Oryzias latipes: one gene and its partner. The protein of the gene in region 1 binds, or shares a complex with, the protein of each later gene. Links are inferred from orthologs where the notes say so. Each region holds a gene or a part of one and is shown in the gene's direction. Other genes may lie near its edges.

What was found. The genes of interacting proteins can lie anywhere in the genome.
Region 2: med12 (region 1) and med23 share a complex: the UniProt entries of both Homo sapiens proteins name them as parts of the mediator complex. The link is inferred for Oryzias latipes from reciprocal best matches to the Homo sapiens genes MED12 and MED23.

The regions. Positions count from the first base shown.
Region 1 is NC_019868.2:8,256,237-8,259,886, forward strand, and holds part of med12 (mediator of RNA polymerase II transcription subunit 12), read left to right. Parts: intron 1-935; coding exon 936-1,054; intron 1,055-1,741; coding exon 1,742-1,885; intron 1,886-1,973; coding exon 1,974-2,137; intron 2,138-3,650. UniProt on the Homo sapiens protein: Component of the Mediator complex, a coactivator involved in the regulated transcription of nearly all RNA polymerase II-dependent genes.
Region 2 is NC_019882.2:15,918,904-15,922,984, reverse strand, and holds the start of med23 (mediator of RNA polymerase II transcription subunit 23), read left to right. Parts: upstream 1-1,160; 5' UTR 1,161-1,284; coding exon 1,285-1,344; intron 1,345-1,738; coding exon 1,739-1,770; intron 1,771-2,001; coding exon 2,002-2,089; intron 2,090-2,179; coding exon 2,180-2,304; intron 2,305-2,590; coding exon 2,591-2,702; intron 2,703-2,806; coding exon 2,807-2,905; intron 2,906-3,011; coding exon 3,012-3,113; intron 3,114-3,215; coding exon 3,216-3,285; intron 3,286-4,081. Other genes in the region: interleukin-20 receptor subunit alpha, read right to left, coding at 367-415. UniProt on the Homo sapiens protein: Required for transcriptional activation subsequent to the assembly of the pre-initiation complex. Component of the Mediator complex, a coactivator involved in the regulated transcription of nearly all RNA polymerase II-dependent genes.

The DNA.
Region 1 (3,650 bases):
GGTTGTCTCCATGGTTTCCACAATAATCAACCTTAATCCAGTGGGTACTTTCAAAGGAGGATACACACAGGAAGTTGAATTACCATAAGACTCTTCACCTTAAACAGAAATATAAAATCTAAACATGACAGCATTTGACTAGCTAGAGGTATTATCAAGCTGATGACGGTATCAATGATTTTGCTGGGCCCCATCATACATTAAAGTTTTGCATTTTATGTCTTAATAGGAAAGTTATTCTTTCCATTTGAAAGAGTTCTCTTACTTTCTGAATCCAGATATCTAGGGTGGGTGGCTCTGTTTTCATCCATCTAATTGTAATGCATTTTAATGCTGCTGTAAAAAGTACATTTAGAAGGTATGATTCTGTCTTCCCTCGTATCTGTGCTGGGATGATACCAAGGAGCGCTACCATCAAATCTCTTGGTATATCGACTTGAAATATCTGTTTTATAGCTCTGTACACCTCATCCCAAAGATTTGCAGTTTAGGGGCAAGTCCAGAAAACATGTGTATGGTTGGGCACCGCTGATCCACAGTTCCTCCAGCACAGGCTTGGTACATTAGGATTCATCTTGGATACAATGTCTGGGGTCCTGAAGTATCTACTGATTATCTTCCATTTAAATTCCCTCCATGTGTTTGAGTTTGTAAATTACTTTCATCTTTTCACACGATTTCAGAAATGAGGACTGTGGGTTTAGGTTTTCTATTACAGAACTCTCTTCATGACAGATTATTCACAGTTCAGAATAACATCATTAGTTTTTTTCTTAAATGAGAAACGCTTTAATGTATCTCTTTTGTAGTGGAGTTTTATTTGGAGAGGAAAGGACGTGTGAAGGGGGACGTAGTCAGCCGACTTCAAGCAGAGGGCAGACCTTTAGGGTTGTTGCTTCCCGTTTTAACCTCATCACCTCTGTCCATATGTGCAGGAGGTGAAGAAGGACAAAAGAGGAAGAGGAGCAAGCCAGAGGCTTTTCCCACTGCAGAGGATTTATTCTCCAAATTTCAGCACCTTTCCCATTTTGACCAGCACCAGGTCACCTCTCAGGTCAGAACAGAAATCTCACTTCAGAAAATCCATTATTTCAATCCTAAATATTAAAAAAAAAGGTAGTAATAACATGATGATATCATTTTTTTTGTTTTTTTGTGCAAACTGTAAAGCAGAGAACAGATGCTCTTATGTAACAGCACAGGTTTAATAACAGCCATAAAATGCTTTGAAACTACAAAAATATATATATATTTGATCAAAGCAAAAGTAATGTTGCTTTATCATCTTTGAACAGATCAGGCTTCAGGAGCCGCAAATCTGTGACAAACTCTACTAACACTATGTAGATTATGAATGAATGAATGAAATGAGGGCTGCATTTGATTGGTCAGCGGCATAAACGGCTCCATTTGATTCGTTAGATATTTCAAGCTGCCATGAGTTTGTATTAGCATCTGTGTAAACATTTAAGGCGACCATTTATTGTAGTTTACGCTGTCTTCAGCGATGCATGTATTGCACAGGCTGGTATACCGACGATGACAAAAATGTGATTTTATTGTCCTTTTTTGTTTTTTTATTTTCTCTGGTCTGTATTTGTTTCTGCAGTTATCGCCCCAAACACACAATTGTAACTGTGTGACGCTTTAGAGCAGTTTGACTCCACTGCTGTTGTCGAGGCTAAACGATGGAGTTGACACACTCCCAGAATAGTGGTCTTATGTCTGTGCGTGTCTGCAGGTGTCCAGAAATGTGTTGGAGCAGATCAACAGCTTTGCCTTGGGGATGTCCTATCACCTGCCCCTCGTCCAGCACATTCAGTTCATCTTTGACCTCATGGAGTACTCCCTCAACATTAGTGGCCTCATAGACTTTGCTATCCAGGTAAACACAGCAGTTTGGTTATTCAGGGTAAATGGGATTTTTCTCAGGTCTTGTATTTTCTCACTAAGCTCTTTCTTTTCTGTCCCAGCTGCTGAATGAGTTGAGTCTGGTGGAAGCTGAGCTGCTGCTGAAGTCGTCCAGCCTCGTTGGCAGCTACACCACCAGCTTGTGTCTGTGCATAGTGGCTGTGCTGAGGAGATACCACACCTGCCTCATCCTCAACCCGGAGCAGACGGCACAAGTGTTTGATGGGTGAGGCAGTCGCAACCAAAACCTTCGTTTTGCCTTTTACTAAACATTGAGGATAAATGGATTCAATGTTGGAGTTTGGCCTAAAAAAAGTCTTATTAATGGAAATTAGTGTCATTGTAATCTTAAAAAAAATTAAATTTAATAAACAGCTAGTACTCAGTCATTCTATTGGTCAGAATAACAATTCCTGATTCTCTGATACCTTTTTAACATGTTCTTGCTAACCCCCTTGTCTAAAAATATTTAGTTCTGTAGTTTAAGTTATTGAAGTGATAAACTGACCAATCAGATGCCTCAAAAGTATTTTATCACATCAAACGTTTGACAGATTATCCCGAGCCCGCTTTCAAATGGTAAGGGTGTGGCTTTCTAACAAGCCCACTCCTGATTGGTGAGAGCAGTTGCCATGGAAACAATCACTCTGACCGACCAATCACTTTTAGGGCGCATCGGATTATAAGGCGCACAGTCAATTATTGGTCTGTTTTGGAAATCCTGTCGTTTATCAGGCGCACTGAACGAAATCAGTCTGACTTCCTTAACTGTGTTCACAGTCATTCTAATTATTTTTATTAAGACGCAACACATTAGCCACGTTTAGGTATTCAAGATTCCTGCAACTTCCAGCCTGGTTAGTAACTCGTCAGAAAACCACAGTCTGACACCTCTACATGTTGGCCATGTTAGCATATTAACAATAACACCCAAAAAAAAAGACTGACATTTTGACAGAGTGCTGTTTACTTCTCAAAAACATCAGAATGAACATCAGTAAACACCATCAGAATGAATTCATATATGAGGCGCCCTGTCCTTTTATGAAAAAACTAAAATGAAGTGCGCCTCTCGGTGTGAAAGATACGGTACTTACTGACGCTGTCTGGTTCCAACACGGCGGCGACTGATGCCAAAAGATTGTGATCGAATTGACTTCATTTGGAACCAAACAGGTCGTTTTCTTTGGGTGACATCACACTCACTCGGTCCAGGCCTCCTCTCCAGTCAATGGTCAAACTGTGACATATTTGAAGTTTAGTAAGGGGACTTAAAATGGCCAATGTTCCTGTTAAAGGTCTGTTGTTTTGAGCCATTTTATCTTTCAGTTTAGAATTTTGACACTACATTGAGTTCATTATACTGTTCTGTTCTTTTTGTTTTCATTTGACCGTATTTTCCGGACTATAAGCTGCTATATTTGTCACCAACTTTCGACCCTGCGGCTTATTTAATGATGCGGCTAATTTATGCTTTTATTTCTCGGCCGCCTGAAGCGCTCCGGCAGACTCGGAGGGGAGACTGCCTGCAAAGTTCTATGTCCAGCAAAAAGCGCGATTGCTTTAACACACACTCAGGCAGCCAAACAGCATGGACCTCACTTCAGTTGTTAGACACTTAAGTCATGGTGCAATAAAAGAAGCACCCATGCTCAACCGCATCCCACAATCCTTTGGTGACTCTCAGACCCACAGCACGTGACCGCCACTACAATATGACGCAGCTTTCAAGTTAAAAG
Region 2 (4,081 bases), on another chromosome or scaffold:
CCATCTATGTTTTTTATAAAGTTGATTATTTTTGTTATCTTGAACTGTTAAATAAGGTTTAAAATTATTACATTTACAACCAGATCACACACGTTTATAAACTTGTTGTCTTTAAAAAAAAATCAAAGATTTAAATAATTCTTTAATAGCTGTTAAAAGTAACCTATATGTTTAAAAAAAAGTCTGTTAATTGATCATTTTGCTTTTTTATTTTTTATTGAGAAAAAGGAGATAGTCAATATGAAATGACAGAAAGCCTTGGGAAAATTAGATCGGATTTCTCCTTTTGGACACATTTGACCAATTTTCTCATCCAGCGCGCGAGGATTTCTTTTAACACACAATAACATGTCAACAAATTCTTACCTGTGCAGGTAAGACCCAAGAGGTTCATTAGCACGAAGGCTGTCCACATCCTTGCGCGCGGGGGTTAGTTTATTTTTAAGGAGAATCAAGCTGCGCAGTCCCTCCACCTGCCGTGGACCAGTGACTTTTCACGCGCATTGAAGAAATCGGGTTGCCTCTCAACTAAAAAGAAAGTAAAATAAAAAATCTGTTAAACTAAAAGTGGAAAAAAGGAAGTAGAGGTAAGAATGCGCTCAATGAATGGGAGCGCTCTGCAAAAAAAATCCCCTTTCAACGACGCGTTAATTCCGTGTTTGAGAAAGGAATGTGGCTGTACCTGTCCGCGCGCACGACACCTGAGCAGGTGCAATTAATGTGGGATGGTCACGACCTCGTCATTTTTTTATTTTAGTTTACCACAGCCAATGATTTTGAAACACCCATTGACTTTTCATCTAAATTATGTCACATTACTGGGATAATTTGCAAACTAACTGTTGTCACTGATTTCGAATAAACAAGAAAGTTTATTAAGTGGTTGAGAGTTAAAACAGTAGAGTAATGTTTTGATCAGTGCCCTTAATAGTTTGTGGGCTACAAGCAGTGCGTGTATTTGAAAATAAAGAATCCCCGTTTCTTGAAACAGATAGTTTATCTGATCTTCAGCATAAGTTTTTTTTTTCTTTTTTAACAAGAGACCAAAGTTCTCGGTGTTGCCCGCCGCGACTGTTTATGGCGCTGAATTAACATGACTTTTAGTAGGTGGACATAAAGTTAGAGCGTAGCGGAACTATTTAGTGTGTGTTTCAAGTGTTCACCCGGATCACTTTTCAGTTGCACACGAAGTGGCGCTTCGTTCTCCAAAGACATTAGCATGCCGTTTGTTTGGAGCTCTGTTTGCAACAAAGCGTAGTGACTTTTGGTCAGATTTCACTCTGAATGATCGATATGGCGCTTTCGATGGAGTCTCAGTTGCAGAGCATCTTTGAAGATGTCGTGGTAAATTGCACCTTATAACAAAAATGGATCCACGACAGAGGATCTGTTAGCATTGATGATGCTTGTTTTTATTGTTGTTAGTATTTTTGCGAACTATCTTTTTTTTGTAGATAACCTGCATTAAAATACACAAATTAAATTACACGTGAATAACACTTGTTAACAAACAAATGTATCAGGTTTGGATTATAATCTGTTGTCAGTGGTGATGCTTTTGTTAACAAGGCACTTATCCTCAAAATGAATGAGTCTTTGTTTAGGTATTTTTGAAGCAAAGGCTATTTTCTTCCTTTGACTGCTGTCAATAGGAAAATTTTATTTTTGGTTGTTTGTATTTTGAATTTTGATCTCTTTTAACATCATAAATCATATTTTCTTCTTCTCAATCTTTCAGAAAACTGAGACAATAGAAGAAGCTTTTGCTGGGTAAGCTTGTTACTAACTTTTATTCATAATGAGTAATAAACATGTTGAAAAAAGGTCAAAATGCTTTGACTTTTAGTTCTGATTTTAAAAAAAAAGAATAGAAATCTGTAGTTTGTTTAATTTATTTTCTGCTCCTAAAACATATTTCACCCCTAAACATTGTGTTGGATTGACAACAAATGGTTCTTATTCCTAAACTAAAAAAGTGAAGCTGGCATTTTCGGGTTTCAGGATGTTCATGGACACTCCAGAGGATGAAAGAACTAAACTCATCAGTTGTCTGGGAGCCTTCAGACAGTACTGGGGAACTCTGCCACAGGTTTTTAAACTTATTTTTTTTAATATCTTAAACATTTATACACAAAGATACATCATATTCTGTATATTTATTCTTTTTTTTCCTCTTCAGGATTCTCACGAGCAGTGTGTTCAGTGGATTGTGCGCTTCATACACACTCAGCGCAGTCCCAAAAGGATCTCCTTCTTGTATGATTGTCTTGCAATGGCTGTGGAGACTAGTCTGTTGCCTCCCAGGTGCATACACTCATTTATCATAGTCTGCCCACATTCTTTACATTCATTTATGCAATTTATGAAAAGATAAAAGCTCCATATAAAGTTTTTTGAAGCTGAGTGTTTCCTCTTCCTTATATTTTCACTATTAAACACATTATTTTTTATTCATTTCTGCAGATTCTAATTCAAAGTGCATTTCTGCTTTGACCACTTTTTGAAAATGACAGTATTAGCTTGTTTGCTTATTCATTGTGAGGCTTGAAATTGTGTGACTCATTCCTTTGATGAATTCATTTGCTTTCAGGATGGTGTGTGTAGCTCTCATTAGCTCAGACAGCTTGGAGTGGGAAAGAACACAGTTATGGGCTTTAACCTTCAAGCTCATCCGCAAAATAATCGGAGGGGTGGACTACAAGGTGTTTGACGCACTAAAAATAAATCTCCTTTAAGCTTGAAAGACATTAATGGACTTTAAAAGAATTTAGTTTTGTTTTTAAAATCTGCTCTATATTTTCCTTAGGGTGTACGCGATCTGTTGAAAGGTGTTCTGGATAAAATTCAGACCGTCCCCATTACTGTCAGCTCAGCTATACTCCAGCAGCTGCTGGCCGCCAGGGAGGTACAGATCATTCCCGTTTTCTTGAATTCTGTAATTCAGATCCAGTTTTTTATTTGTCTTGACACAAACCGTAATTCTCAGATAGTCGTTTCTGCCCATTTTTCAGGTGGTGGAGTACATTTTGGACAGAAACGCCTGCCTCCTCCCAGCATACTTTGCTGTAACAGAAATAAGAAAACTGTACCCAGAAGGCCAGCTCTCACATTGGGTATGTGAATAATTACACGAGTGTGTAAATGTACATCCCTAACATCTTCAATTCTTTGAAACATGTCTTTGATTTTTGGGGTTTTCTGTGTTTGATTTTTAGATTTTGGGCAGTTTAATATCAGACTTTGTGGATAGTTTCAGACCTACAGCAAGAATCAACTCAATCTGTGGTAAAACTCACACACACCCAAACACACACACTTAAGGATTTTACAATTTTTTGTCTTTCTAAAGCATTTAACTATGCTAGATTTCTTTCAACTACGGCTGGATTAAAACAGCAAGGATCAGTTTAACAAATCAATAAATTAATTTTACTTTAACCCCTTCTTGCATGAACTTTATTTTGAAATTGAAAACATTTTTTACTTTCAATGTGATGCTAGATTTCTCTTGTACGGTATTAAATGATATTTTTTTCAGGCATAAAAAAAACTGCTTTTTGTTAATAAAAACATGACCAATCTTAGTTCTAATAATAAAACTTCCACTTTTGCTCAATTTGAAAGATAATTTTTCTAAGAACAAATTTTTCATAATCAAACTTAAGTGGTTTTAAAAGCAAAGTTTGTCATGCAAATCATTTTGTGAACTTGTAATTTGAAATCAAATCAGTAGTTTGGTTGCGATACCAAGCCCTTCTTTTAACAAGAAATTCTTACGTTTAATTTTTAATTCTAATTTAATAATTACCGGTAACCAAAAACCCACATAATGTCTGTAAATTTTGTGTGTAATGCAATAATTTAAAAAAAGGAAGTCCTCCGACTCCGCCTCTTCTTTGTGCTTGTTTAACAGCTTGCTGGTGTTTAGATAAACTGGAGGAAGTTTAAAAAGTCAAGTTTTAGAATAAACATATAAGCCAGCTATAGGTATTTACTGACCCTACAGTAAAGTTCACCATTGCTTGATTTGTGAGCGTGAAGCTGATTATCGCTCTCCATGCTGTGTGCGTGGCAGATCCAA